4 linked regions of the Mytilus edulis genome follow. The protein of the gene in region 2 purifies or fractionates together with the protein of the main gene of each other region. This does not show direct contact. Links are inferred from orthologs where the notes say so. Each region holds a gene or a part of one and is shown on either strand. Other genes may lie near its edges.

The links.
Region 1: the proteins of neuralized-like protein 4 (region 2) and ubiquitin-protein ligase E3A-like purify together in Homo sapiens (affinity purification with mass spectrometry; 3 studies listed by BioGRID and IntAct, with this or other methods). This does not show direct contact. The link is inferred for Mytilus edulis from reciprocal best matches to the Homo sapiens genes NEURL4 and UBE3A.
Region 3: the proteins of neuralized-like protein 4 (region 2) and protein ZNRD2-like purify together in Homo sapiens (co-immunoprecipitation; 4 studies listed by BioGRID and IntAct, with this or other methods). This does not show direct contact. The link is inferred for Mytilus edulis from reciprocal best matches to the Homo sapiens genes NEURL4 and ZNRD2.
Region 4: the proteins of neuralized-like protein 4 (region 2) and centrosomal protein of 290 kDa-like purify together in Homo sapiens (affinity purification with mass spectrometry; 3 studies listed by BioGRID and IntAct, with this or other methods). This does not show direct contact. The link is inferred for Mytilus edulis from reciprocal best matches to the Homo sapiens genes NEURL4 and CEP290.

The regions. Positions count from the first base shown.
Region 1 is NC_092351.1:84,601,648-84,609,538, forward strand, and holds the start of ubiquitin-protein ligase E3A-like, read left to right. Parts: upstream 1-4,749; 5' UTR 4,750-4,881; coding exon 4,882-4,931; intron 4,932-7,891. Other genes in the region: NF-X1-type zinc finger protein NFXL1-like, read right to left, coding at 1,892-2,075. UniProt on the Homo sapiens protein: E3 ubiquitin-protein ligase which accepts ubiquitin from an E2 ubiquitin-conjugating enzyme in the form of a thioester and transfers it to its substrates.
Region 2 is NC_092356.1:70,055,180-70,063,032, reverse strand, and holds the start of neuralized-like protein 4, read right to left. Parts: upstream 3,127-7,853; 5' UTR 3,091-3,126; coding exon 2,908-3,090; intron 1-2,907. Other genes in the region: spermidine synthase-like, read left to right, coding at 3,187-3,317, 4,541-4,661, 7,589-7,681. UniProt on the Homo sapiens protein: Promotes CCP110 ubiquitination and proteasome-dependent degradation. By counteracting accumulation of CP110, maintains normal centriolar homeostasis and preventing formation of ectopic microtubular organizing centers.
Region 3 is NC_092346.1:30,325,168-30,332,948, forward strand, and holds the start of protein ZNRD2-like, read right to left. Parts: upstream 3,363-7,781; 5' UTR 3,243-3,362; coding exon 3,206-3,242; intron 1,280-3,205; coding exon 1,134-1,279; intron 314-1,133; exon of another isoform or gene 294-313; coding exon of another isoform or gene 261-293; intron 1-260. UniProt on the Homo sapiens protein: Might play a role in mitosis. Antigenic molecule. Could be a centromere-associated protein. May induce anti-centromere antibodies.
Region 4 is NC_092353.1:4,363,135-4,370,623, reverse strand, and holds the start of centrosomal protein of 290 kDa-like, read left to right. Parts: upstream 1-4,272; 5' UTR 4,273-4,454; intron 4,455-7,489. Other genes in the region: uncharacterized protein, read right to left, coding at 761-856. UniProt on the Homo sapiens protein: Involved in early and late steps in cilia formation. Its association with CCP110 is required for inhibition of primary cilia formation by CCP110.

The sequences.
Region 1 (7,891 bases), on a different chromosome or scaffold from region 2:
TTTTGTTGTCAGAAACAACATATTAAAATTTTAAAAGGTTTGGTTGAATGCTTCATGAGTAAATGCACGGACAACATTTGGTTGCCGCCCGCCCGACCGCCCACTGTACATCCCCAAATCAATAACCGACATTTTTGACACAAAAATCCGGTTAAAAAGCGATAAACAGTTTATCATTGGTCATCTCAACTCGATTGCTTTTCTCGCTTTCGCTGTAACATAATCTATAAAAAGTCTACACACTCGAAGCTCAATTTTTATTATTTTTTTAGGCTATAGATATGCATTTTTACAAACCTGGGCTGCCAGGCCTGTGGTCCAGTGTGAAGACTGGTTTAATGTTTTGACAATTTTACAAAAGGAATGAATCCAAACAGTGAGTAAGTTAATGGTCAATTATCTTTGCAAAAACTTAGAATTTATGCAATTTCAAGAAATTCTGTGTATGGTAAATTATCATGTAATGTCAGAGATAATACCATTGTCCTATGGAATAAATGCAGTGTCAGAAGTGCAAACCTGAGCCTTGTATCCCAAACTCTGTCTAACCAACAATATGGCAGACAAAGAGTCATTGGGTCAGACAGAAATTTTCAGATATTTTTTATTGAAAACATAGTCAAAAAAATTTTAATTTCTTTTTCGGTCAGACAAACCATAAAACAGTTTGGTACAGCAGTATTCATTTTCATCTTAGTCTTCTCTAAAGCGCTCATGTGTAATAATTAATACAGACATTTACAGCTGATTTCCTAATGCTTGCAAAGTAAAACATTGGTTGGCTTGCATGCTTTGTTTGTATAATTGTTTATACAAGCTTCGTAAATAAGATTGACATCTTTAAACAATTTATATAGGCATAGTTTAACCTGTATATATCATATTTGAATTTAATTTGGTGTTATCCTAATGATTGTACAATATACAAACAAAGTAAGCAAGCTAACCAAAGTTTTGTTCTACATGCATTAGGAAATTAGCTGTAAGTGTTCCGAGAAGAATGAGTATAGAAATATGACTATCACCATGGACAGCATCATCTTTAGCATTATCTGTTACTTTGATGGTAGGTCAATTGATGTGGAATATTGATCCAAAAGTAAAATCTTTCTATTTTTATTTAATTTCAATTACAATCAAGTTTGACATTGAATCATGTGAGTTTTTTATATATTTCTCATTGTTGAAGGATGTACAGTTGTCTATAATTGTTTACATCCACTTTATTTGATCTTAGGTGGAAAATGGTGGACAGTTGTTTCATTGGCAATGAGCATACCTCATCTCCTTCATTGTCCTTATTCTTAGCTTTGATGCTTTAATACATTAATCACTGCAAAAGGAAATCCATGATATGTTTTATTAATTTTGTATAAATTTGCATTGTGTAATAGATCAAAATTATTCTTTCAGTGTATGTTCACTTGTTTTTGTTAATCTGTCTTTTGATTGAGTTGATATTTCATAGTGTGTGTTTCTATGTTGTGATGTTACACTATGGTTTCAGGTTGGGTGAAGGTAGGCAACTATGCAACATTCAAACCCTGCTGCATTTATTTGGACCTGTCCTAAGTCAGGAACCTGATGTTCAGTGGTTGTCATTTGCTGATGTGGTTCATAAGTGTTTCTGGTTTATTATATAAATTAGACCATTGGTTTACCTGTTTGAATTATTTTACATAACTCAAATCTATTTGGGGCTCTTTATCATACATGTATTTTTAGCTTGCTGTTCAGTGTAAGTCAAGGCCAAATTTGACTTATAGTTGTTTCCTTTTAACACATTGTGAATTGGATAAAAAATTGTCTCATTGGCACTCATATTACATTTTCTTATTTTTATGTTTATCCTAAACATTGTTACATGTAAACATGGTAAAGGGAAACATACCATTGATACTGGTCTGCGATATTTCTTTTTTTGGTTGTTTGCTGGCAACACCATTTTTCCATCCATCGTCCTTGACATTGTTTTCAGAGCTACCGCCATTTGTCCATTTAGCTTTGTTTTGTTCTACATTTCCACGACCTCTGCCCCTGCCGCCTCCTTTCAGATAAACAGGAACTCCAGACATTTTCTATTTTACTTTAGTAACACTGAAATAAAGTCAATGTAAGTGAAACATAGAATTTTTTTTACATATATATATAGCCATTAAACTCAATATCAAATCAAATAATAAAGGAACAACCTAACAGTGTGAATAGATTTCACAGTCAGAGCTCAGACATAAATAAGTCTGAATCTGCTTTTGACTCATAGAGGTCTAAATTTGTAATTTTTAGGATTTATATTTACTGCAAAAGGCTATAAATTCAGTATATATAACGTACCTGAACCTTTGAACAGCATGAAAAGTGTAAAGACAATATGTCCCAGCCTTACCAACCTAGGTTTGCATGCAGTTTGGTAAACACACAAAATCAAATATCAACAAATACTGTAAATTTAGAAATTATTGGGTGCACTTATAATTGCAATCTTGTCATTCATTGTCATTTAAGACTTAAATACGATTTTTATCTTTGCGATATTGAGAAAAATCCTGTTTAATTCATTTAAAAAAATTTAAAATGCAAGTTTTAATCATTGCGATTATAACCCTGTTGCATTTTCGCAATAAAAAAAATTTGTGTTATTATAGGACCTTCTATATTTATTGTTTTAATCGTAACAACCCTGCAGGGGCTAGCTGAAGGAAGCCTCCAGGTGCAGGAATTTCTCGCTGCATTGAGACCTTTTGGTGACCTTCTGCTGTTGTCTGTTCTATGGTCGGGTTGTTGATTCCTTGACACATTCCCCATTTCCATTCTCAATTTTATAGGCCAGGTATCCACTTTAAAACTTTCAGAAAACTACTGGCAGAAGATTTACCAGGCATTATTTCACTTGGGTTTAATTTTTCATATTTTAAATATAAACATGTTTTTTTAAAAGAAAAGGTGTACATGCATATGTAGTGTAATATTTATATGGTTTAATGACATAATTCTATTTGTGAAATGTACTTAAATTGTATATACATTGATATATGGTATACATAAATGCCTCTGGTGCTGTCACGCTAGTGAATATTTTGTTGCAATATTGGGTCTCAAAGTTGACAGCAAAATTCTCTCAAAAGTTGTGTTTGGTCTAGATGTCAAAGCTAAAAATGAATACCTTTTCAAGACATCATTATCAATGATTATTATTTGGGCTAGAGCTAGCTTTTAAACCATATCTCATATGTCCTTATGACATGTATGATTATTTATGACAAATTGTATACAATAGATGGCACCCTGTAAATTGTCAAAAGAATCATGAGAATATTATAAAGACCTCAGAGATACAGTTTAGCAGCTAGAGTGAAGCACCCTAAATGTGTGTTTGCAGAAGAGTATTAGTAAACACACACACACACACACACAAATCTATTGGGAAATATATATATTTTTATAACAAACATAACCAGATAACATTTAACATGTTTAAAATATATAGTACAGCAATACATGTACATGTACCAATAAATAATTATATGCAAAAAGTTAAATTTGCTTTCTGTCAGTCCTTAATAGTCCAAATGATTATGACATCTTTAACCAAGAGTTCCAAATGGTGAAGTAAATATTACTGGTGCCATCACAAGTTGGTTCACCATTATGAAATATCAGTTTCACAGATGATATATATCTGAAAAAATATCGGATATGTTCCTTATGTCATAATATAAACCTGTTCCCTTTTTACGAATGTGACCAACCGATTTCATGTTAATTATTAGAAATCCAGTAAATAGTCTAAATCGGTTGGTCACATTCGTAAAAAGGGAACAATTGAACAACACTGTGGAGCAGGATCTGCTTACCCTTCCAGAGCACATGAGATAACCCTCAGTATTTGGTATGGTTTGTGTTGCTCAATTTATTGTTTTCTATGTTGTGTCTGGTATACTGTTGTTTGTCTGTTTGTCTTGAAATTTTTAAGCCATGGCATTGTCAGTGTATTTTTGTATTTTTGATCTATAGATGAGTTTGACTGTCCCTTTGGTCTTTCGCCTCTCTTTTGAAAGGCCATTTCATTTTATTTTGCTTTTGTGTCTTATGTCACTGAAAGGTGTAAAAAAACACACATGTAATAGCCTTGTGAGACGTTATCATTATTTGGTCTATGTCACAGTGGCGGATCCAGTTGGGGTTCCGGGGGTGCGCACCCCCCCTTTATTTTTGCCGATCAATGCATTTGTATCGGGAAATATGTTTTGCACCCCCCCTTTGCCCTGGGTTAGCACGCCCCCTTTCGAAAATTACTGCATCCGCCCCTGTGTCAGAACTGTGCTCTGACTGTCTGCCACACAGTCTGGCACTGAGTGGCAAAATAAATAAAGTTTCACGAATTGTGCCTACTGCAGTTTTTTATATGTCATAAATGGGTAATTATATAACACTGGGGTTGAATTGAATATTTTGCACTGTTTGCATTGTCACTTACTCTGACATATTGTTAATATACATATATAATTCATTAAAATTTGACAGACTTTCGTCTTCGTGGGCATGAAGTTGTATAAATTCAAAGTCAAACCGGAAAAGAATCGTGGTTCCGAATTTAAAATAGTTGAAACAGGGAACCTGTCCATTATAATTTAAACATTAATGTAATATAGAACAAGTGGAATGTAGTTTATTATATATAACTCTATAAAAATGTATTTATATATAATTTTGAAAATTGTTATGATTATTCATTCACAATAAATTATTAATCTCGCCTCAACGAGAAAACAAAAATGGCGAATTCTAGAAATTGAGAAAAATATTTGACCTTTCAAAACACATTTATTCATTATTGGGTGACTGAATGGACGAAATAAGAAGGGGAGATTAAAAATTCGTATGAGTAATAACGAGAAAACCGAAGATCAGAGCGGAACAAAAGCCGCCAGGTTGGTCTTTGAAGCTCCAAACTGTCAAAATTTGATAGACCAGGTTGACAACCAGAAAATCAAACCGAAAGTTAAGGAAATCCTGACTACGCAATACGCCATTTGTTTTACTAATAAATAAATACACAAGTTCCTCAAAAATTGAAATAACATGGAATGAGTGGTTGACACATTTGACAATGAATCCAAACAAAAAACCAAACAACACCAAGTAAACTTATTTTTTTTGTCATGCAAAATTCCACATTTGGATCTGTTGTTTGTTGAAAGAATTAAGATACAAAATGTATTTGAAAGTTGTAACACATGTCAGTAATATTGCTGACGGTGTTGGTGGTTTCAGTCATGCTCCACTGACATGACTGAGGCCATGTAAACAAGTTGCACTTTTATAAAATTTATATGTAACCCTCTTGCTGCCAGTTGTTTTTCAGGGTTGCATTTCTGACACATGCCAGAAAATATGATCGCTCGAAGTTAATGTGACGTGACATGCCAAACAATGGTTATTAGATATATGATGTCATGCCGTAATGACTGTATTAACATTTGATTGTAGAAACACTTTTTAATTTTCGGTCTTTTATTTTGAAAGAGGTACAGCAATGATGAGAAGCTTGCATACATTAAAACATGGACATATGTGTCCCACCGTCAGCAATACTGTACACCTTATCGCTAATCCCGGCTGACCCGGCCGCTTGAACTTTTGACGCATACAACAATCACTTTTCAATTGTCAGTCAGGGGACTTACTGAAATAAGTGATTTGTAAATCACTTATTTACTGAAATAAGTGATTTATAAATCACTTATTTATAAAGTAGCAAATTCAAAATTTTGTCATAAATTGTGATTTTGTAGTTTTACTAAAATTTTAAACACATAGGTTTAGATAATATGTTTTCATTAGTAAAATTGAAAAAAAAAACTTTTGCTTCTTTAAAGTAGCAAGGTTTATGCCTTTGATGCTATCATTTAGCTGTAAATTCTATTTTATTGGAAAAAATGCTATAATAATGGCTTAACTTAATGAACTGATACTTTATTAACAGATTTTTCCCAGCAGTGGGAGTATTTTTCCTGTAAAGTTCAAGGTTTCATCTTTCAGATTATGTAATAAAATTCTACTGTTCGCGATAAAAATTTCACTGTTCGAGGTTGTTGAAAGTAGTGGGGGTTATTAGAATAATGATACTTAAAGAAGTGATTTTTTGGAAGGAAATTGAGGTATGATACTTAAACAAGTGATTTTTATGTCATTATCCCAGATTCAGTACAAGGTCATCATCTGACATGACCTGGTCATCCTAAACAACACAGATGTTGGTTCTGATAAGTTTAGAAACATAATTAGTCCCTGGATCATTAATATTCTATATTTAAAACTACAATAAAATTAAATCACTTATTCTAGTGATAAATTTGTACTACTTAAATAGGTGATTATTAAAGAAAGACAACTCTTACTTTCAACCTCTATGAACATAATGTTACTTGAATCAGTGATTTAGAAAATCACTCATTTAAGTAAGTCCCCTGACTGATTGTGGTGTCAGATATTTTTTTTTGTGACGTCAAAATTTTACGGAAACATGTGATATACAGTAATGGCAGACAAATAGCAATAAGGTGTATAGGGTTAAAGAGCCTTTGTCATGTTTGTTGTTTACAGTTGGTTTGATAAGGCTCTAAAATGGCCCTCTTTTCCCCTTAAATTTCAAATTATGAATTTATTGACCAATATATCAACAAGATAATAGTGTAATTTTGAGAATTTCATATAAAAAAATGCCCAAAATTAGCAAATTTTAATCATTGTTAATTGTTTACAAAGAAAAATAATAAGATGAGGCAGGCATTACCTGTGAATGGGGACGAATTCTGTATGATTTAAAAAAAAATCAAACATGTTAAAAAGAGAAACGGAAATATCGTTTCCGATTTTGGTTCTGTTGTAAGGGATTTTAGTTGTGACGTTTTTTAAGTCATGACGTCATATTCAATGTAATCAAAGAAATGCTGTCAGCAGGTAATTTTTTTTTTTTTTTATAACAAACAATTTTTAAAAACGAATTAGTATTAATATAAGTTCCTTTCTTAGACATGTTAGACTGATTAATATACATTTTATTCAAAGTCTCATGCAAACAAGACCGGAAACGGAAGTAGATTTCTTCGCAAATCTGGAAATTCAAAACACAAGAAATTTTTTTTTGAATGATTTTGAGTTCATTAGGTACAATGAAAAATTCGGGAAATTTTCCCGATTTTAAAAAAAAAATTTTTTATTGAATTTTCTACTGTAATGGGGGACTTTGTCCCCATATTAAACATTTGTGTCAAAAGATGAACAAACTGTGAACATGGTGTACATGTAAGTGAATAAAATGAAGAAAAAAAATAAATACAGACAATATTTAATATGAAGGGCCACTTGTGTCATAATAGGCAGGCAAGCCATCATCTCGGGTAGATTCTGTCAAGGCAGCTGGAAGGGATAAGACAACTTAAACATTGTTAAAACATATTTGATCTTGTACCATTCAATTTAATAATCACAGCCAAATACAGCCCTTGCTGAACTTACTTCTTTTAATATTTACCTACATTTTCTTATTCTTATCTTCATGATCATATACCATGTATACATGTATATGTTTAGAAAGATTTTGTTACCTCAATCTGTTTTATTCACAACAATGATAGTTTTTATACGACCGCAAAAATTTAAAATTTTTCTCTTATATTTGAGTGTGAATTCACATTACTACATGTACTATAAGACGTATCAGGGTACTTATCTATCCCAAATTCATGTAATTGGTTTTGATGTTATATTTGTTATTCTAATAGGATTTTGTCTAATGCTTAGTCCGTTTCTGTGTGTTTTACATTTTAATGTTGTGTCCTTGTTTTCCTCTTATATTTAATGCGTTTACCTCAGTTTTAGTTTGTTA
Region 2 (7,853 bases):
TGAAGTGTTTTGAAAGCTTGAAGCATTGAAAAGTCGTTAATGATCCTTAATTAGTACTATGTTTGACACCCAAGTTGCCAAGTGAAGCCATTTAATTACACATTGTCTGTGATTTACAGGTAAAAACAACCCTCAAACGTAATTAATGTTAACTTGTCATTCAAGGTTAAAATATTCAAAACGGTAGATTCTGTACTCCTGTACAGGAGGGTACCGGCAAGCGGGAGATTTCCCGAATTTTGGCATTTAAGGGGGAGTCTCCCGCTCAAAACGTGAGGATTAGCAGGTATGATACATCAAACTTGAAGTGGCCTATGACCATATACAAATGTACATGTTTGCAGTTCCAGATACCTTTTTTAGTTGAATCTGTCATATATGACTTCCATCACCATGTGACCATAAACATGAAAACCTAGGCATCGTTACCTCCAGCCCGAGTTGAACAAACAGAGGAAAAAGTTTGATTTTAGACTGCACAAAATATTTGGAAAATTTAAATCTAATAAGAATGGTCACCCAGACGTATGGGAATCAAGATAATTTCCATACTTACGGAACATAAAATATTGAGGTACATGTGCTACCGTATGGAATGACGATTCTGAAAGTATTGGACACTCTTAATTAGTAGAGCAGGGATACAGGCGCGCCTTCTATCTGGTAAATGACGTCTTCAATTGACAATCTTTTTCAGTGAAAGACTGATACTGGAAGATCATGTTCTGTATATGGTAGTCCAAATAATTACGATGTCTGGCAAGGCTATTTTAAATTTTTTTCTGGGACGCAGGGAGGCAACACAGAAAAAAGTAAAATTGCCTTGCCAGACATCATAAATACTAGAACACACCCACGAAATCGCGTGCATATACAGCTTGTGAACTGCTGTAGGGTGATTTTTTGTAAGAGACATTACATGTATGTATGGAGAATTTCATAAAAGGTATCAAAAGCCCTCTCCCTTTTTCCAAAGTCCGATTATTTGTTTCCTTTCTGTTAAATTCAATTATTTTCGTGTTTCGTGCCTCAGACCACAATTATTCTTCTCCTTTGCTACAATGCATCTTTTGGTAATAGTCAAATTAAATTAAAAATTTGCACCACTTCAAACATGAAATAAATGTAACTGCTTATATAAAGACCATTATTAGTCTAATAAAATATGCTTCTAGGACAATCCATAAGTGCTTTTTCTTTTGAGAGCCTTGTTAACATGCCAATGGTAGGATATGAATCTTGTATAAATAACTAAGACCGACTAAGGCCAATTTGAGGGTGGTCGGAGGGGTCCTGATCCCGAAATCCAGGGCTTAAAAACATGAAATCCTGAGATGCAGAATTTAAAGAAATTCATATCCCGAAATCGAAAAATATATTCCCGGATCCCGTAAGAAACGATCCCCAAATCCCGGGCTTAAAACACACGACCCCGACGTCCCAAAAAAGGTCCTGCCTCCCTCTAATCTCTACCCTACTTTCATTTTTGCCAAATCATTACTTTCACTTCCAACAATAAATTTTTATGACCCATTTATGGGCATTATGTTTTCTAGTCTGTGCGTTTGTTCGTTCATCCTTCCGTCTCATGATCCCGCGTCAGGTTAAAGTTTTTGGTCGAGGAAGTTTTTGATGAAGTTGAAGTCCAATCAACTCGAAACTTAGTAAATATAGTGCCGATGTGGCATCCGTGTACTATGGACACATTCTTGTTTCCACATGTTTTACTTATTTTAATATATATTCAACTGGTATGACTCCTTTTAAAAATAGTAATATATTTCAAAGAAAACTGCAGACAGAATACAGAGAGTCTCTATATATTAAAGTATTATAATCGTAGTTTACATGTAGATAAACGCAAAAAATAATTGTCCTCTCTAAGGAGGTATAATAGTAGTGGTTCTGGCGACCTAAACACCATGATATGGAGAACGCTCTGATTGGCTTATTTATTTTTTCATTTTTGTTATCTATCATACGATTGGTTGTACTTGTGCGTGTTTCAAACCGGAAGTTGATCTATGACTAAAAGTCAGTCTGATGACGTAATCAATATTCGGACTCCTTTTTTTTCGTTTTTCTCCAAAAATAACACAATCTGAATAATCATAAGAATGAATGACAAATGCGACTATGCATGTTACATATAGAACACAGAGGCATGATGATTAATTTATCGTGGAAGGAAGAGAAGCGACACACAAAATGAGGTCTTCTTGTTTTATAATAGTATAGATTTGGACCATGTACATTATGTGAGTTCGTGGTCTAGTGGTTAAGACCGATGGCTACAGTGCTAAAGGTCCCGAGTTCGATTCTCACTCGGGGTGCTAAAAATATCAGTACATCAGAAGGGTAATTTTCACCCTCTCACACACATCTCCGGTACCCAGACCGGAGTTTAAACTAGAATGAGTACTTTGGGGGCCTAGGTTGGTCAAAGTTGTCCCCTACTTTGACCTGGAGATCAATCTTCTGATATCTCTCTGGTTTGTCTGTTTCCACCGAGTGGCCCGGTGGTTCTCTCCAAGTACTTCGGCTTCCTCCACCATAATAACAGACTTCTCTGTGTCCTACACGCTCCCTTGGGCAGTGTTGGGTGGAGATTGTTCTGGTGGTGGGATAATATTGTAAAGGACACATCTCCATTAAACCTTAGGGAGTGAACATGGATCCACTGTACCCTTGCAGTCAATCAAGGGGTGCGTTTAAATTATCGGAATCTCGAAGTACATACATACATGTCAACCCTTCACTCAAATGTTTATGGGTATGCACAGACGGTTTTGGTTAAAATGTTAGCACAGACATATCGCACCATTTTAAGGCTGATATTGGTTTAAGGGACTGGGGAAACGCTGACAAAGTAAGAAAAAATATAAGACATGCTGAGACATGGACAACCTTTTTGTCTATTTTGACTTCAAATAATTGGTCTTCCTTTAATGGGTCTCTGCTAATAGCGACACCATTATTGAACTCTTGGGCGGGATGGTTTCTCTGTGCTGTCCTGTTCTCATTACTCAGTTGGACAAGCGATCCAACCCTTTCATGGAATTTTGGCAAGGGTTCGTCTGAGGAGGCCATTTTCTGGAATCCTCTGATTTTTACGTCTACCTGGTAAATCCAAGAGAACACCCGAAGTTAACAGTTTCCGTTTTTCGGTTCATCAGCTGATTACCAATGGATTTAATTAAAGACGGGTGGTTTAGTGAATTAAGTGAACTATGGCCAGGACAGTGCATGTCACTCCAAGTGGAAGAATTGTTGTTTCATGAAAAATCTAAATATCAGGATTTAATTGTATTTAAAAGGTAAAATTTTATATCTCTCACTGTATAAACAACACACGTGTCCAAACTGTTATTTTATCTTATATGATGCATTTTCAGTCAATGCTAAAATTAAAAGATAAAAGAAGATACAATGTTACTTAGAATTTAGCTGTAAAGAATTATTTGCTTTTTCAAAGTTTTTAATAAGAACATCTAGGTTTTGATGAATGTTTTCCAATTTTTAGTACAACAAGTATAACATGTATAACAATCGTGTATATATTTAGATATATAATAAAGTTAAAGGGCATAATCATTCAGCTTATCATTAGCCTAATATTTTTTTGCTAATTTTGAGAAGAAAAAATGTGAACAAAAAAGGTGTTCAAATATTCTTATTTTACAAGTTTTATTGGTTTTAAGCAAAATATATATTTTTCATAAAAGCAGAATTGTGAAATTATAATTAACCTTAACCTGAAACCCTATCATGGGACATGTACCTATTCAAATAAACATGATAAACAGATCAAAACAACTTATACATATGTCAGTGCTATTTAAATTTTAATTATATGTCAGTGCTATTTTAAAGCTCACTAGAGCTTGTGTTATGTAGTTTATTGAATATCGACTCTAAATAAAACTTTGAATCTTGAATCTTATTTAAGTTAAACTTATATGTCAGTGGTATTTACATTTGCAAGTTAAAACTTAATTGTCAGTGCTATTTGATTTAAGCTTATATGTCAGTGCTATTTAAGTTTAAATTATATATATGTCAGTGCTATTAATTTAAGTTTAAATGTTTAAATTATATGTCAGTACTATTTAAGTTTAAATTATATGTCAGTGCTACTTAAGTTTAAATTATATATATGTCAGTGCTATTTAAGTTTAAATTATATATATGTCATGTATGTCAGTGCCATTTAAGTTTAAATTATATATTCAGTGCTATTTAAGTTAAACTTATATGTCAGTACTATTTAAGTTTAAATTATATGTCAGTGCTATTTAAGTTTAAATTATATATATGTCAGTGCTATTTAAGTTTAAATTATATGGCAGTGCTATTTAAGAAAACTTATATAATGATATATAAATATCAGTGCTAATAAAGTTAAACTTATATGTCAGTGCTATTTCAGCATGTTCAGTAAATACTATTTGTCAGTGATCCCTATTTCAGTTAATATTACATGTCAAAGGGTTCCCTCTTTCACTCAGTAAATATTATATGTCAGTGTTGTCTATTTCAGTAAAACTTATGGTAATGTTTTGGTGTTAGATGGTGTAATACAGTGCACAGAAAGAGATGAATTTTCATATCAAGAAATGTTGGCACATTTACCACTGAATTCTCATCCTAACCCTCAAAAGGTTTGCAAATAGAACAGTTTTAAAGGGGAGATCCAATTACCCTAAGGTACATGTAATCCTTACCAGTGAACAGTTTAAAAGGAAGGGGAGATCCAATAACTTGAAGGTAATCTTTACCAGTGAACAGTTTGGGAAGGGGAGATCAAACTATCTTAAGGTAATTCTTACCAGTGAACAGTTTAGGGAGGGGATATCCAATTACATTAAGTTAATCCTTTCAAGTGAACTGTTTGGAAAGGGGAGATCTAATAACCCTTAGGTAATCCTTACCAAAGAACCTTTTAGGAAGAGGAGATCCTATTACTCTATGTTAATCCTTACCAGTGAACAGTTTAGGAAGGGGAGATCCAATTACTCCAAGGTAGTCCTTATGAGTGAACAGTTTAGGAAGGGGAGATCCTATCATTCTATGTTAATCCTTACCAGTGAACAGTTTAGGAAGGGGAGATCCATCTACTCCAAGGTAGTCCTTATCAGTGAACAGTTTAGGAAGGGGAGATCCTATTACTCTATGTTAATCCTTATCAGTGAACAGTTTAGAAAGGGGAAATCCAATTACTCCAAGGTAGTCCTTATCAGTGAACAGTTTAGGAAGGTGAGATCTAATTACCCTAATGTTATCTCTATCAGTGAACAGTTTGAGAAGGGGAGATCCAATCAACCTAAGGTAATCCTTACCAGTGAACAGTTTAGGAAGGGGAGATCCTATTATTCTATGTTAATCCTTACCAGTGAACAGTTTAGGAAGGGGAGATCTAATTACCCTAATGTTATCTCTATCAGTGAACAGTTTGAGAAGGGGAGATCTAATCAACCTAAGGTAATTCTTACCAGTGAACAGTTTGAGAAGGGGAGATCTAATTACCCCTAAGGTAATCCTTACCAGTGAACAGTTTGGGAAGGGGAGATCCAATTACCCTAAGGTAATCCTTACCAGTGAACAGTTTAGGAAGGGGAGATCCAATACCCTAAGGTAGTCCTTATCAGTGAACAATTTAGGAAGGGGAGATCCAATTACCCTAAGGTAATCCTTATCAGTGAACAGTTTAGAAAAGGGAGATCCAATTACCCTAAGGTAATTCTTACCAGTGAACAGTTTAGAAAGGGGAGATACAATTACCCTAATGTAATCCTTACCAGTAAACAGTTTAGAAAGGGGAGATCTAATTACCCTAAGGTTATCCTTACCAGTGAACAGTTTAGAAAGGGGAGATCTAATTACCCTAAGGTTATCCTTACCAGTGAACAGTTTAGAAAGGGAGACCCAATTACCCTAAGGTAATCCTTATCAGTGAACAGTTTAGAAAGGGGAGATCTAATTACCCTAAGGTTATCCTTACCAGTGAACAGTTTAGAAAGGGGAGATCTAATTACCCTAAGGTTATCCGTACCAGTGAACAGTTTAGAAAGGGGAGATCCAATTACCCTAAGGTAATCCTTATCAGTGAACAGTTTAGAAAGGGTGATCAAATTATCCTAAGGTAATTCTTACCAGTGAACAGTTTAGAAAGGGGAGATTCAATTACCCTAATGTAATCCTTACCAGTGAACAGTTTAGAAAGGGGAGATCAAATTACCCTTATGTAATCCTTACCAGTAAACAGTTTAGGGAGGGGAGATCCTATTACCATGATTAATCTATGTTACCCTTGCCAGTGAACAGTTTAAAGAGGGTGATACGTTATACTGATCCAATAACCCTTAGGTTATCCTTACCAGTGAACAGTTTAGAAAGGGGAGATCCAATTACCCTCAGGTAATCTTTACCAGTGAACAGTTTAGAAAGGGGAGATCCAATTACCCTTAGGTTATCCTTACCAGTGAACAGTTTAGGAAGGGGAGATCCAATTACCCTCAGGTAATCTTTACCAGTGAACAGTTTAGGAAGGGGAGATCTAATTACTCTAAGGTTATCGTTACCAGTGAACAGTTTTAGAAAGGGGATATCTAATTATCATAAGGTAATCTTAACCAGTTAACAGTTTGGGAGGGAGAAATCCAATGACTTTAAAGTAATCTTTACTAGTGAACAGTGTACAAAGGGGAGATCAAATTACTAGTAGGTTATCCTTACCAGTGAACAGTTTAGGAAGGGGAGATCTAATTACCCTAAGTTATCCTTTCCAGTGAACAGTTTAAGAAAGGGGATAATTATCATAAGGTAATTTTAACCAGTTAACAGTTTGGGAGGGAGAAACCTTATTACTTCAAAGTGATCATTACTAGTGAACAGTGTAGAAAGGGGAGATCCTATTACTCTAAGGTTATCTTTACTAGTCAACTTGTTGGAGAGGGGAGATCTTATTACCCTAAGGTAATCTTTACAAGAGAACAGTTTGGGAAGGGAGATTCAGTTATCCTAAGGTAGTCGTTACCAGAGAATAGTTTGGGAAAGGGAAGCCCAATTACTCTAAGATAATCCTTACTTGTCAACAGTTTGGGAAAGGGAGATCCACTTATCTGAAGGTAATACATGTAATACCATGAATACTCAACAGTTTGGGAAGGTGGACTTTGCACATGATTATTTAAATTAATGTAAGGTCATGAAGGTTCTCTTTACCAAGTCATGTAAAAATCTAAAATCTTTAACCTTCATCAAAGTTTTATATGAAAACTTTATCATTCAAGGGTACTTATTATACATGTACAAGTGATTTCAGAGTCACCCTTTTAAGTGATTTTTGCATAAATTTTTTTTTTTTTAATTTAAAAAAAAAGATCTGAATTTGTGGTTCACAGTTATCATCAAAAATTGGTACATGAAAAACAGGTATGCAAATAATATGCATACTAATTTTCTTACAAAAATGTTGAAAGGTATTTAAATTGAAATTTATCTCAAGTTCTAAAATGTAACATGTCATGCATTCATCCATTCTCCATGTTCTCAATTTAATGTATATCATTTTAAATTTTCTTTTCAGGTTTTGATAATTGGTGGAGGTGATGGGGGCGTACTGAGGGAGGTTGTTAAACATCCACAGGTGTCTTCAGTATATATGTGTGAAATAGACGAGGTATGTTGATAGGTATTAAGGGAGGTAATTATATAATCAAGCATTAACTGGAGTCATCAGATTATATGTGAAAAAGATTAGATTGTTAATACAACATTTATTTGTACAAGTATCAAACCTCCAGAGGGTCAATAATTAATATAGTATGCTCAAACAGGTATCTTTGTTGTAT
Region 3 (7,781 bases), on a different chromosome or scaffold from region 2:
ACTTACTTGACCACGTTCCAGGATGTACTACCACAGAAAGGTAATCTGTCAAAAAAGTTTGAACTCAGGGGTCTTTATACATGTTATATGTAGGTGATTATGAAAATACACTATTCAAATGTTTGTCTGCTAAAAAAATTTCTTATCTAAATTTATGCCAAAACATTAATCATTGTTAATGCAAGCAAATAAAAAGGAATTAAATTTTATTTGGCCTTATCATACAACTTTTCCTTCTGACCAGGCTTACAAAAACTTACATGTAGTTGGTCAGAGTAAAAAATGTCTTCCATTTCTTCTAGTTTGTTGAGCCCTGAATTTAAAGCAAAAAAGGAAAACGTATGATAAGGCAACAATTTCATCCTTTCAATTCGAAAAAAAAATCTATTATTGAATAACACCCTTCAAACAACCTTGCAAAACACATAGTCTGATAACTGCAACTATGCACCAGAAATTCTCTTAAATATTTGCTAAAATACGTCTTTAATAAAACTTATTTATAGAACAAAATGCAAAAGCTGTAAAAATTGTCTGATTTCAAAATCTTATCTTTAATTAATTGTGTCAGTTTTAAGATTAAGCAACAGCTTTACCCAAAACAATACACACGTATTGCAACATGTTATAATTAGCTTATGCAAAGATGTCAATGTTCACGAGTTAAAAAAATCTGTTTGGGTAATGATGTTACTCAATTTCAATATTACCAAAGTATATGAAGAATGGTAGTTGTAAGTAGATATGTAAATGGTAACAAAGATGACATGTTTTCCATTTAATTAACATGACTGTATATTGTTTTGTTCATTCATCACTAAAAAAATTTATATAAGTTTGAAAGACTGAATAATTTTACAAATTTTATGGGATTTTTTTTTAGGGGGGAGGGGATTTTTTTCCAGTACACATAAGGTGATTGCCAGTTTCTATGATGATGATCAAATTTCACAGCCAGTGCTTGTGATTGTTGGTAATTCACTCTATGAGTAATTATTCATCAGAGTGGTATCAATAAATCATCAGTTTCTCTCCCCCTCCCATTGCACAAACATCCCCTGACACCATAAAGACTATTTTTTTTTAACTGAATCACCTTGTGTGTGCTTGTACTGTATCTTAAATTTTTTTACCTCACAAAATTGGCAAGTTGAACCAAGCATTTTGTAACCTTTAAGGAGGTATTCACCCATTATGCTACTAATCTTATCAGAGCGTTCTCTTCGTGCTTGAATAACTTTCCTTTCAGCATCAGTTGGAGGCTGCCATTCATAATCTTCTGTAAAAGATCTTTTATTTTCATCATTTCATTTTGTAAAAAAAAATTGCCAGATTTCAATTTCAAGTCATAAACTCAAAATACAATGAAATACAGCACTTTTCGTTCATTTCACTTGATTGACCATTTATGATTCTAAAGCCCCATAAAAATGCCCCTGAGGCCATCTCCACATTTAGCAATGGGGTATTTATCTGAATGAACAAGTGTATGTTCATGTTTCTCCAGATCAATTGTTTGGTACTTGGTCAAAAGTTTTGAAAACATTGCTTTTTTTTTTATTATAACAGTTCTTTGAGGCGGTCTCACTAATTATCGACAAGAAGGGACAAGAAACTATTTAGCGAAAAGAAAACATATTTTTTTTAATTAAAATTATACTATGGACCAGTTCTGGTCATGGGCGCAGTCTGATATGGACTCCAGATCACTTTGTGCCGCTAGTTAAAGCTAGCCACAATAATTCTGTTATTGATATAGACAGTATGCATAACTTTCCTACTTTAGATAGCACAAGAAATGAATCAAATGTGTGTCCAACAATTTTTGATACCACTGTTAAGTCTCAAGATGAATCTTTCGATTCAGTTTATCAAGGCAATAAACGCAGTGACACATGTCATGTAGAATTAGATAACTCTTATACTGATGTAAAGCCTTTAAGGTAGACAGCATATATTGCACGCTCGAGACAAATGAATCAAATGAATCAACTGATTCAAATATTCAAAATGAAATTATAATTAAAAAAACTTTAGATGGCAAGTTTTTATCAACTGATCAGATTTTAAATGTGCTGGTAAATGAAAATGTTTCTCATACTGAGATACCAGACTCGGTTTAAGAGAATGAGTACTTTTGTATAAATATTATGTTAGATATGAACATGATGAATGTACATATTTACTATATTATGACTAAAAAGAAATTAAGAAGAAAAAAAAATATGGAACCCAAGGTAGAACCAGGTCCTCGTCGTGGGGTCTGGAAACACGCTTAAATAATAAAGATGGCAAAGTGTGGCTGAGAGTTCTACAAATAAAGCATCGCATTGACATAACAAGATTACAGTTAGAGCATATCATTAAGCAAATGAATCAAAATATTATATTTTATTATGCCCGCTCCATATATATCTCCATTCATATTCATACTTTGACTTTGCTGAAAACAGATAAATACATTATCTTCTACATATTCTTTATATTTAAACATAAAAAAAGAAGCTCAATCTCTTTCTTCTTCACAAATGTTTAATTTCTTCATCTACCAATTTATTAATATAAACTTCACAATCTCTTTCTTCCTCACAAATGTTTAATTTCTTCGTCTATCTATATAATAAAACATTTTAATTAGACATATCTGCTCGTATATTAAAAAAAAAACACCATTAAATACAAATTTCTTTATATCTACTAAAAAAAAAATGTTTTCTTGTCCCTAAATAGTCTTCTTGTCGCTAATTAATGAGACCCATAAGCGGTTTAATCAATCTTTAAATAGCGTAATAGGCTTAATCATGTTAATGTATGTTTTAAATTATGGGGAATAGGTTGATGGAAAACCTAATGGTCAACAAATTGTGTAAATACATCTATAGTTGTTCATGACTTTTCAATTTTAATCTACATAGCCTTGCCAGACGTCATAATTAAGACTAATAGTCCATCCTTTTGTATTTAACAAAATTTCCAGATTCTTAGGACATATTTGCGACATAAAGATTCATTACTCTAGACATAGACGATAGGAACTTGTTTCTATAATTATAAAACCTTACAATATCAATAGTGAATATGTTTTACAAAAACAAGCACCTGTGTCATGGAACACCCTCCCCCTTTTTATTTTCTTTTCTGCGTTGCGGCTCATAAAAAGAAACTGGATGTGAGTTTGACTTCATAGCATTGATGTTCATATTACCTAATGTCATGCTGCTAGACTTATTCATAATATTCATTGGAATATCGATTCAGATATGAAACATAAGAAAAATAACTTCCAAAACTTCTTTCGATCAACCATTCGGTATTCATCGGTAAATACATGTGCATTCATTCATAATCTACCGAGGAGTACCGAACGCTAATTTCGTCTGGTATCCGACCTCACTTTACAAATAGGAGTAACGATCCAGGCTACAATTTTCATTGATAACGTCCCTTGATTTTGACATTATTAAATAAAAGAAAAGCAAAACGTGGAAATAATATCTAAGATTAAGGGAAAAATCAAAACGACAATGGAATGCACCATTTTCTACATTTGAAAATGCCTGTACCAAGTCAGGAATGTGACAGTTCTTGTCCATTCATTTTTGATGCGTTTTGTTATTTGATTTTGTCATGTGATTATGGACATTCCGAATTGATTTCCCGCTAAGTTCAGTATTTTTGTGATTTTACTTTTGGCCCACGGGTTTGGGGACTTTTTTCGTGTGCAAGATTTCAGAAAACAAGAATAATTAGAGAATAAAAGTTTGTGTTTTCATAATTTGCATTAAACACGTTTTAAAACGATCAGAAAATTTGGGTTACACTAATGACTGGACCGAATGACAAGACCAAATGAAAAATGTTAATAACTTTTTCATTTCTTAAAAGTTTAGATCTCAAATTTGAAATATAATAAGATTTTATCATTTCATATATAGATTTAAGAAAAAAAATTTTTTTTTTTTTTTTTTTTAAATGTAAGAAACTTTAGAAAACGTGACATGACCAACTCTGATAATGACAGGACCAACAACGGCAATGGCAGGACCAAATAAAAATGCTAATTAATTTTTTTATTTTTCAAAGGAATTATCTCAGATTTAAAATAAAAAAATGATATGTCACATTTTGAAAAAGTCACCAGCCAACTTGATAAAATACTTATAATGTAATAGATGTGCCTTGATGTGTCTAGGTTAATTCCCCTTAATTTGGACAGATTAATTATTTAGTATTTAAATGTTTATTTTAAGTTTAATTTTATTTAAACACAGTAAGATAAAAGTAAGGATTGTTAATTTAACTGTTTTAGTATTTAACTTTCGATGTTTTTATAATGTTTTATGAATATTTATTTATTCAACTTTTCTTCAGTACCGTTTCAGTTAAAGTTACCCTGTTTAATGACAAGTTTAGAATATCATTTGATATTCAGTCGGAGTCGACCTTGCACAGGCCTCCAAATACTCGCCGGACTGTATCAGTTCACTTGAGTTAAGAGTTAGCCACTACTTCGGTGCAGTTCGCCACAGTTAGTCACCCCTTTATGGTGCAAATCTCACTACTTTAAAAACACAACGCGAAGCAAATTTACTTTACTTTTAATACTAACTCTGAGAACACTTCAATTTCATTTTACCTTTGAAACTTCAGTTTAGAAAGTTTTCTGACTCCTGTTTATATCCGACTTTGTTTAATACATGCAATTATTGTACATATGTGAATAAAATATAGTTTCGTTTGATCATTGTTTGTTGTTCAGCCATAATCTGATATCAGGTATCCCAATGGTCGAATAGGGGCGAAGTACTGGCCGCTACACGTCCCGGAAGGTGTCGTCACCGACCCCCTCCGTTACAATAGCAAGGATTTGCACACTAGCAAATCAATGATCAAAGACATCCATTTCACTTACAAAGTACACAGTTAGCATTGCATTTTCTGTTTGTTTGTTTTCTATTCTTTAAACGGAATTTAATACTCGGCATGCAAGCCGATAATTTTACAGCCTTGTTTTTGTATTTATAGTTGAAAATGTCCAAAGAATTCATGTGTTCAGTGACCGATTATGCATGGCATATAGATCCGGACGGATGTTTATGGAAAAAGTATCATTGCACAGTTTTAAAAGTGTATAGAGTTGTTTTCGAAATTGGCAGCTTTTAAAATTGCCAAATGATGGATATTAATCAGAACAAGTAGAGAGAAGCCTCGATTTTTCGGGGAATGAGTACATATGTCAGTCTACAAAAATGTACCAACTTACAATGATGATGCGAGCCTTTTTCCGATGACACTTGAAATATTGACCGCTAAACTCTCATCAAATTGATTGATCGTAGGTTGCTTGAGCAGTAGGGCGTGATAATTCAAGTCAATTTAATATTCCATTAGAAAGAGTATACATATCCAGAATCTCAACGCCACTTTGCTTATTTGAATATTATACTAAAAAAATCGGATACGGGTCACGTAAATTACATTAAAATGATAGGGAATTTTGAAAAAAATGTCTGTTTTAATTTTAATTTAAGTGATAGACAGGTTGCCGGGGCAGAAAATGAATATACACAACAATATACACCATTTAAACGAAACATAATGACTGTTGTTGCAAAAATACAGGTTCCTGAGCTATTTTAAAAATCGAAGCGAGAGGCTTTTAACATTGCAGTGTAAAATACAGGCTAAAATGGCTGAAACGTCAAATTTGCAAACTTCGTGTTGAAAATTGGCTTACAAGGTCATTACAAAAACAGGTTGCCGGGGTGAATTTTGAAACTTGAATTTCCAAAGAATAAGCAAGTCCAAACCTTGTATGTGTAGTCGTTGAACTCTAGGTTCCCACGTAAAATTAAAATGTCTCTATTTCAAGAAGTATAAACTCACGAAAGCACGAAAAATTCACTAAATTCGCGTTCATTGTTTTGATTTTGACCGCCTGACAATTTTACGGAAATATCAAAGTGATTGTAAATAAGGACTCTGTGACGGGCAACTTATAATATCCGTGTTTTAAAGATTTTAATGATATATCAAGCCAGTCTGTTCAAACTACTATCACGTGGTACAATTCTCATTTACATATTATGAATATTAATTAGCAAAACCACTACTAATTTCTGGCTATGAGTTAACTATTACATCTGCAACCAAGGATATACAAATCCTTGCTGCAACTAACAAACTTCAAATAACATTAAAACTAGTCATTGATATTATTAATTTGTGATTCTATGGAACATGTGTAACAAAAAAAAATGTTTCGGTGTGATATTTGTTCAACGGGACTAATTTCAAAGGAAATATATGTTCCACCGGAATTAATTTCACAGAAAATAATGTTCCAGCACTGTAAAATTTGTTCCGAAACTAATTTTATGACTGAATGTGAAATAGGTTCCGGAACAAAATTGTTCGAATTAATATTAAGAGTTTAAAAGTTAAATAAGTTCCTGTGATATTAGTTTTAAACAAACATGTACTTATCATCCCCAAAAAAATCAATGAACAAGTTCCGCTCGAACCTATTTTCGCAGAAAAGAATCGGAAAATAAGTACCTTTGCAACATATTGCACAGCGGAAAAAAAATCTTGTTACATTCAAATTATAATGCTGTACTGAGTATATGAATGCCTGGAAAACATTTGCAATTGAAGGCATGACTGTGACTATAGAATGATGATACGAAATAAAAGCAATGGTAATGTATCATAATTTGTATGTTATGTTTTATTTGGTATTCCTCCTTTGTTTCTGTTAACTGTCACGACCCCGTATTCTAGTCATACACGTACTTGGGTCATGTCACAGTTTCAAAAGAGTGTGTCTTTTGTTATAATTGATTAGTCACTGTTCCTTTTTTAAATATGTTCTTTTTTTACTTTTCTCTTGTTCTAAATGATTTTTCTTATTAACATTTTTTAATGCATTGTGAATTTTATTCAGATCTGCGATATGATCTTTTTATGAAAGCAAGTGCAATTAACCCAAATTTTTACGATTTTAGTCATGATGACAAATTTATCTTTCTGATGTCACATGACTGTATACAACCCTTTTTAGCAAAATCTTTATATTTTATGTTTAACCGCAGAAAATATTGTGTATAACGGAATGTTTTTTTTTTTAAATGTGATGTAAAAGTTTTATTTATTCATTTGTAAATGAATGTTAGAATAAGTTTTAAAGCAAAAGTGTCTCATAAGTCAGTCATGGCTGGATACCGATATTTTAACTTCGATTTAAATTCTTATTTGTATTTTTATACTTATATTATTATGTATGATATTGTTCAGTATTGGTATGTGACACTATAATAAAATATTCTGTCTGTCTGTCTGTCTTATTCTACTCTTTTCTGGCTGAAGAGTGTGAATTTTTACATTTCTTACGGTGTATATAACTAAGCATTTGCTATACATATTATGCTATACTCCACAGGATCCGATATGGATGATTTACACTTTTTACTTTTTTATTATTGATATAATATTAGAAAAAAAAGAAGATGTGGTATAATTGCCAATGAGACAACTGTCCACAAGAGACATTACCAACTATAGGTCATCGTACGGCCTTCAACAATGAACAAAGCCCATCATACCGCATAGTCGGCTATAAAAGGCCCCGATATGACAATGTAAAACAATTCAAACGAGAAAACTAACGGCCTTATTCATATAAAAAAAAAAATGAACGAAAAAAAAAAATAATGTAATACATAAACAAACGACAACCACTGAATTACAGGCTCCCTTCTTGGGACATACACATACAAAAA
Region 4 (7,489 bases), on a different chromosome or scaffold from region 2:
AGATTATAGCATTGTTTTTCCTGTTTAAATGGTTTAAACTAGTTTTTTCTGGACCTTTATAGCTTGCTGTTCCGTGTGAGCCAAGTCTCCACGTTGAAGACTCTAGTTTGACCTTTGATTGTTAATTTTTACAAATTATTACTTGTATGGAGAGTTGTTTTATTGGCACTCATACCACATCTTCTTATATCTAATTAATACATGAATTCAGATCAATATGTTCCTCCATCATGTCAATTAGTTGACCCACTCAGTCTCAATAACTAGTTTCTTGTCTGGATTTAGCTCATGAAATTTTCAATTAACACATGTAAGTTCTTCAACATATTTTTAGGTTTTGGTATTCAAATATATTGGCCTGTCTTGCTCCACAATAGATACATTGTAGAAATGTGCATCCGTCCCAATAAAATTGGTACCTTTAAATGTGATTACCCAGATCTTTCTTTAAATATTGTTGTTTCCTCATTATTGAAATCTAAACCTCATAGATTTTTGAGGTGCTGAAATTTGATTGTTCCCCATCTATTAGACTATTTTGATACTCTTGATATCTTAATCACTCAGTTTTCAGCTTCTTCCTAATAGTTCTTATATCAAGTTTATACTAAAAAAGATATACTTGAAGTGATATTGATCTAGAACATATTGTTATAATGGTCTAACTGTTTTAACACTGTAAGTTTGAACCCATCTTTATAGAACATGATAGAACCAAACCTCTTAGCTTATCACAGTAAATGTTATATAACATTTTTACTTTTATTATAAGAGGTTGTTCTTTGGTCAGTTTTGTTTCTGTTAACAAACTCTTGGTCAGCAATAACAACAGCACAAGCAGGAATTCAAACTCCATTTTCCTGCAACAATACAAATATGTAAAATATAAATAAGTGACTCAATGTGGCTTGTGTAGGTTCATATTATGTCAGGTGTGAGTAAAATGTGTAGAATGTTGAGATATAAAGTATAAACACATAAATTAGAATACATAAAGCCTAGAACAAACTGCCAGATAGAAATTAACAAAACACCCTCTATAAAATTATATATAATGCCTTTCAAAATTGTCAAGTTCAATATTGGTCTAATGAAGAGATAAATTATAAGAGCAGAAATATCTGGGAGTCACAGACAAAACTGTAAGCAAAATAATTCAAATCAGAGTCTGGTGAAGAGAACCTGTCACCAAGAGCCAATGCACGTCGAGTTTAAGGGGGACTATCGAACATGCACAGCCCAAGGCACAGTGGGTCAGTCTTTCGCAAGACTTAAGCAATAGCAGGCAAAACTATAAAGCAAGCAGCAAGTTGTAACAATTTTATATAGTAACTGGTCCAAATAATAATAATGATGCCGAAACAATTTACGAATAAATAAAGTTCAAATGTTCCAAATAATAAAGTCACTAATTTCACTAATCCAATTCACAGTTTAAAGTTAAAGTCCAAAATGTTCCAAATATATAAAGTTGATGTTGTCTGGTTGAACGATTACAGTTGTTTTGAGCTGTCTTTTGAGTTAGCGTTTCTCCTGAGTAGCTGAGCCTGGTTGGCTTTGGAAGCACTCCTATCTGAATAACACCGACGAGACTACACTGACGAACAACTGTTCGACTCCGATATTTAAGGCGAATCCTGAAAACTACTCATAAAATGACAGACATTGATAATTTTGATAATTGAGATAATTTGAGTATTAATAATATTGTTTACAATGTCCAAAGGTGAAATATGAATAATGTCAATTAGAGAGATACAAGTTCATTACATTTATAATCCTAATTAAAACATAATATAGCTCAGATTAATTAATGACAATTGACAAGATACCAAAGTGTTGCTCAGAGCAATTATTTACAAGTGACATGTTTCACAAAATTTACCTGATTAATTAAATTCAAATTTGTAATAAAATATTTCATAATTTCATATTTTCTAAAATAATATATTTTCTCAATAAAATTCATTTTAAAAACTTTTACCTAAAAGAACACCTATGACAGATCATTAGGGATTCTATACTAGAAAATCATACTGTCTAACAATTATGTGTGAACACCTCCCCTAGTCCTAGCTTACAGTCATTATTGCTAATAACAAATACAATATTTGTTTATTTTCGGAATGTAAAACATTAAAGACCCATTGTTGGCCTTCGGCTGTTGTCTGCTCTATGGTCGGGTTGTTGTCGCTTTGACATATTCCCAATTTCCTTTCTCAATTTTATTTTATATGCATAAATTTTAATTCAAATGTGTGAGAAAGGAGATGCTGTCCAAGTTTTCTACATTTTCGCAGCGAGAACAAAGTTTTCTACATTTTCGTAGCAAGAAATAATACATGATATATTTTCCTAAAATGTACAAACTAGTGATTTAGCATACAATCTATAATTTACTAATTTACGCTTGAAAGCATGCACCTTTATTTTACAGATGTTTCTTTTTCAGAAAATCCACAATATTTCAACCATGGGGAAGGCAAAGTTATTTATAAAACAACAATTATCGTAAAAATAAATTTAGCTGTTTGCTTTCAATAAAAGCAGGATACAGGATATATATGTGTATACTATTTTGTATCTATAAAGTAAACTGCAGATACAAGTCCTCCTTCAAGCAACTGAAGAAAAAAAAACCACACATTTGCTTCAGCTGACAAGGCACGGTTAGGTTTAGATTAATAAAGTCATGAACACTTGCTTTCTGACTGCTTGGTTTTATATAAGTTGAAATAAGTGATAAACCAAGCAGTCGGAAAGCAAGTGTCTATGACTTTCTTAATCTTATTTACACCTAACCCTGCTTTGTCAGCTTAAGCAAATGTGTGGGTGTTTTTTCAGTTGCTTAAATGAGGACTTGAAATATTTCGTCCAGCATGTACTTTTATGGTTTGTATAAAAAACTGTTAACGTGATAATACAATTACGTTTCATACGTCTATACTTTCATCGCACTTAAGAGTATGGAGCATCGGCCTTTAGTGCAGCCACAATCACCCTTTAGCGGGACCATCATACTTTAGCGCCCCCATCACACTTTAAGATAAAGGATACTACAGATACAGTTAAGTCAGCTTCATATCTTGACTTACATCTAGAAATTGACAATGAGGGTCGGTTGAAAACAAAACTTTACGACAAAAGAGATGATTTCAGCTTTCCAATTGTGAACTTTCCATTTCTAAGTAGCAACATTCCAGCAGCACCTGCATACAGGGTATATATCTCCCAATTGATACGATATTCCCGTGCTTGCATTTCCTATCATGATTTTCTTGATAGAGGGTTACTGCTCACAAGGAAGCTATTAAAACAAGAGTTCCAAATAGTGAAGTTGAAATCATCCCTTCGTAAATTTTACGGACGCCATCACGAGTTGGTTGACCGTTATGGAATAACCGTTTCACAAATGATATCGGATACGTTCCTTACGTCGTAACTACAATTCCCTTCCCTTTCATGAATATGACCTACCGAATTAGACTATTTACCAGATTTGTAATCACATAAGCAACACGACGGGTGCCATATGTGGAGCAGGATCTGCTTACCCTTCCGGAGCACCTGAGATCACCCCTAGTTTTTGGTGGGGTTCGTGTTGTTTATTCTTTAGTTTTCTATGTTGTGTCATGTGTACTATTGTTTTTCTGTTTGTCTTTTTCATTTTTAGCCATGGCGTTGTCAGTTTGTTTTAGATTTATGAGTTTGACTGTCCCTTTGGTATCTTTCGTCCCTCTTTTAAGAGTCCTACAAACATTATTGTAGCTATTTGATTGGTTATTTTGTGGATTAAATCATTATGAAATCAAAAAAGGGTTGGTTTAAGTTAGGCTACTATTTTCAGTTTCAGCAAAACAGAAAGAGGACCAATCTAAGAAATTAGTTAGCCATCACTAACAGGCAACTACAATCTACTTGCTAAGTAGAGGGTAACTTTCTGCGTCTTTTCTACATTCATACAATGAACTCTGTTTTACACTATGATTTTTGTGACTAAGCTTAAAAAGGTTAGATAGTTAAGCTTATTTTAGCATTTTTTAAAACTCGTGCCATTACTCACTCAAATCAAACATTTTTTTCCAAAACGAATTAAATAGCTCATATTAAAATTGATTAAACATAAACGTTGTTAGTACTCAATGAAGTGATAAAATTCTATTCTATCATATTTGACAATTTATGGTAAGATAAAGAATATAAAAAAAATCAATATAGTTTGACAACTTTCTAAATTCGTTTTGTTATTTTGCAAATTGCTCGCGACGAATACTACAGCCTTACCAATTTACTCGACACTAACTATGTTTACATAAAAAATGGCGGACATTCTTCAAACTTCAAAATGTCATAGTTAAAAGTTGCCTAGCGAGTTTCAAGTGTAGCTGATTCCATAATACTGGACGCAATTAAAACCTTTTTAAAGTTTTCTTAAACTGAACACTAAACAAAAGGTATTTGCATCACACAGAATGATGTGTAAATTGGTTTTGTAACAGCAGCAAGATCAAACTTGTTTATTTTAATAATGACGTGATTTACTTTACATTGTTTACTACTGTTGAATACATCTTTATGGTCAATTGAAATAAAACCACATGTACCTTCAGTAAACTGAACACTCCCATAAAAGTACAGTTACCCTTTAAAGACAAAAAAACCTAATAAATTTCCACTTATAAAAGTTATACAGTGGAGTCCACGGTGTCTGTACGGCCCGTAATATCGAGCATTAGCTGATTATGTCACCAGGGATCTCCATGGCTTGTTTAACGATGGTGCCCCACCATTGTTCAAATGTCTTCTGCCATCGTTCAAAACTTCATCGTTTTTTGTAGCCCAACGCCATTTTTTTTATCAATTAAAATCAAATGCATGTAATTGCATAACCCTTAGGCTTTTTATGTTATAATCCAATACAGTTCTAACGCCTCAGGGATATCCGGATTAAGATCGCTAATCACTTGTACCTGAGCTTGTACAGGTAGATCAACAAACCAGACAGGAGAATACTATCTGAGGATAGACGATCCATTTGTCGAATTAATCAACTCAGTTTCAGCAAATGATTATAATAATTTAGAGTAAATAAATAAATAATCCAGTTACAAAGAAAACAGTTTAACAAGTCGAACACATGCTTTATTTTGACTTACGCAATCAGCATCCCCCTTTTTTAAGAAGTACAAAATAAGACGCAAAACAGTAAATATTATTTCATCGCAAATAACTTGAGTACTGCTGTAACGATAATTAAGAATTACTTTAAAAGTTTAAAAGTAAAAACTTAAATTTTTACTGTAAAGAAATATCGTATCGTAATTCCGAATTCATTTCGTATATTACAATCAAATTGATACATTCGTGTTTCCGGTTTCTATTCAGACTCTAAAGATGCATGTTGCACAGCATCAATTTGTCAGATAAAGTCATTAAAAACCTTTTCATTTGTCAACGTTTGCTTTACAAATCTCTTTAACCTTTTACATAACCCGTACGAATCGTTTGTTGTTGCTTCAAATCAGCCATACTGGTAATGGGTTCTTAATTTGAGAGTGTCCATGAAAAATAAGCTCCACATCATATGATTTTAACCCCCATAACAATTACCAAAAATACAAGAAATCTACATGGGGACCTTCATAACAGCTTTTGTCATTCTCAACTAAGAAGGGACCATGAAGACTTGGCATTTAAATGGTTAAAAACGACAATAAATGAAAATATTGATACTTCTAATTCTATAATGAAAATTCAAATAAATATAATTTAAACAAGCAATGAATTAGCATGTTCACCATTCCTTGTATGGAGGGATAAAATACTTCCGATTGCGCTACACTGTACAGCGTAGACACGGTTTGTAATGGTGAAAGTTCCTCCATCATTCAATTTTCATCCATGGAGATCCCTGTACACAAATTAAAATCGTTCTTGTAATTGTTTTAGCCTTTCGAAGGGATGAAAAAGAATAAAATTGATAAGTTCAAGTTAATTAATAAAGTTCTGCAATCCCGTGATTTGCTATATTTGACCAATTTCCATTAAAAAAAACATCATCAGATAAAATTTGTTTTATTTAAGTCATTAAGTCAAACTAATGTCAGATTGAAATAATCTTTGCTCTGCATCCTTGGCAGTGTATTTGGTTCAAACTCAGCTATATTTCGTAGTATAAAATCTTTCCTTTATTTAAAATAAGCTATTTTTGGAAGGCATGCACGAAATCACCGGTTATTGGAGAAACTCTCAGTGCAGGGGTTTCCCTAATTTTGGACACACATTACACAAAATCGACAGGATTAAACTATACAAACAAAGATTTTATGAAATAAAAGAATGTTATGAATTTGTTCACACAATATTATCCAATTATTGGTTTGATCAGTTGAATGAAGTAAAGTCATAAGTCTTAAGTGCGCGGATACATTTGGCCCAGCTGCATTGTACATGTAACTGTTATAAGGGAGTCTGATCCCGGATCCTGCTTATTGTTTAATGAGAATCCTGCTTCTCGTTGCCATATTAGCACATGTTATTTCCCATGTCACGACAGACCGTGTGCTCCTTCTTTGGAGGATTATAAACAGTTTAAGTAGAGGATGTAAATATGATCAACAATCAAAAAATGAGGGCAGTCAATGCCAAATCTGAATTTGCTATTTATTTCATGGAAAACAAGTTATGGTTTTCAACTTTCTGTCATAACGTTTTCTCCATGAAACTAAGTACTGTAAACATTGCAAATTGTGCCCAAGTTGTCATATGCACATTTCTTCACAGATAATTGCTGACTGACCGATTCTATTTGAATGAATTAATGTTGATGATCATTAATGTCCTATCCGATAAACGGATTACCTCTAATCTTCTAATTCTATAATGAAAATTCAAATAAATATAATTTAAACAAGCAATGAATTAGCATGTTCACCATTCCTTGTATGGAGGGATAAAATACTTCCGATTGCGCTACACTGTACAGCGTAGACACGGTTTGTAATGGTGAAAGTTCCTCCATCATTCAATTTTCATCCATGGAGATCCCTGTACACAAATTAAAATCGTTCTTGTAATTGTTTTAGCCTTTCGAAGGGATGAAAAAGAATAAAATTGATAAGTTCAAGTTAATTAATAAAGTTCTGCAATCCCGTGATTTGCTATATTTGACCAATTTCCATTAAAAAAAACATCATCAGATAAAATTTGTTTTATTTAAGTCATTAAGTCAAACTAATGTCAGATTGAAATAATCTTTGCTCTGCATCCTTGGCAGTGTATTTGGTTCAAACTCAGCTATATTTCGTAGTATAAAATCTTTCCTTTATTTAAAATAAGCTATTTTTGGAAGGCATGCACGAAATCACCGGTTATTGGAGAAACTCTCAGTGCAGGGGTTTCCCTAATTTTGGACACACATTACACAAAATCGACAGGATTAAACTATACAAACAAAGATTTTATGAAATAAAAGAATGTTATGAATTTG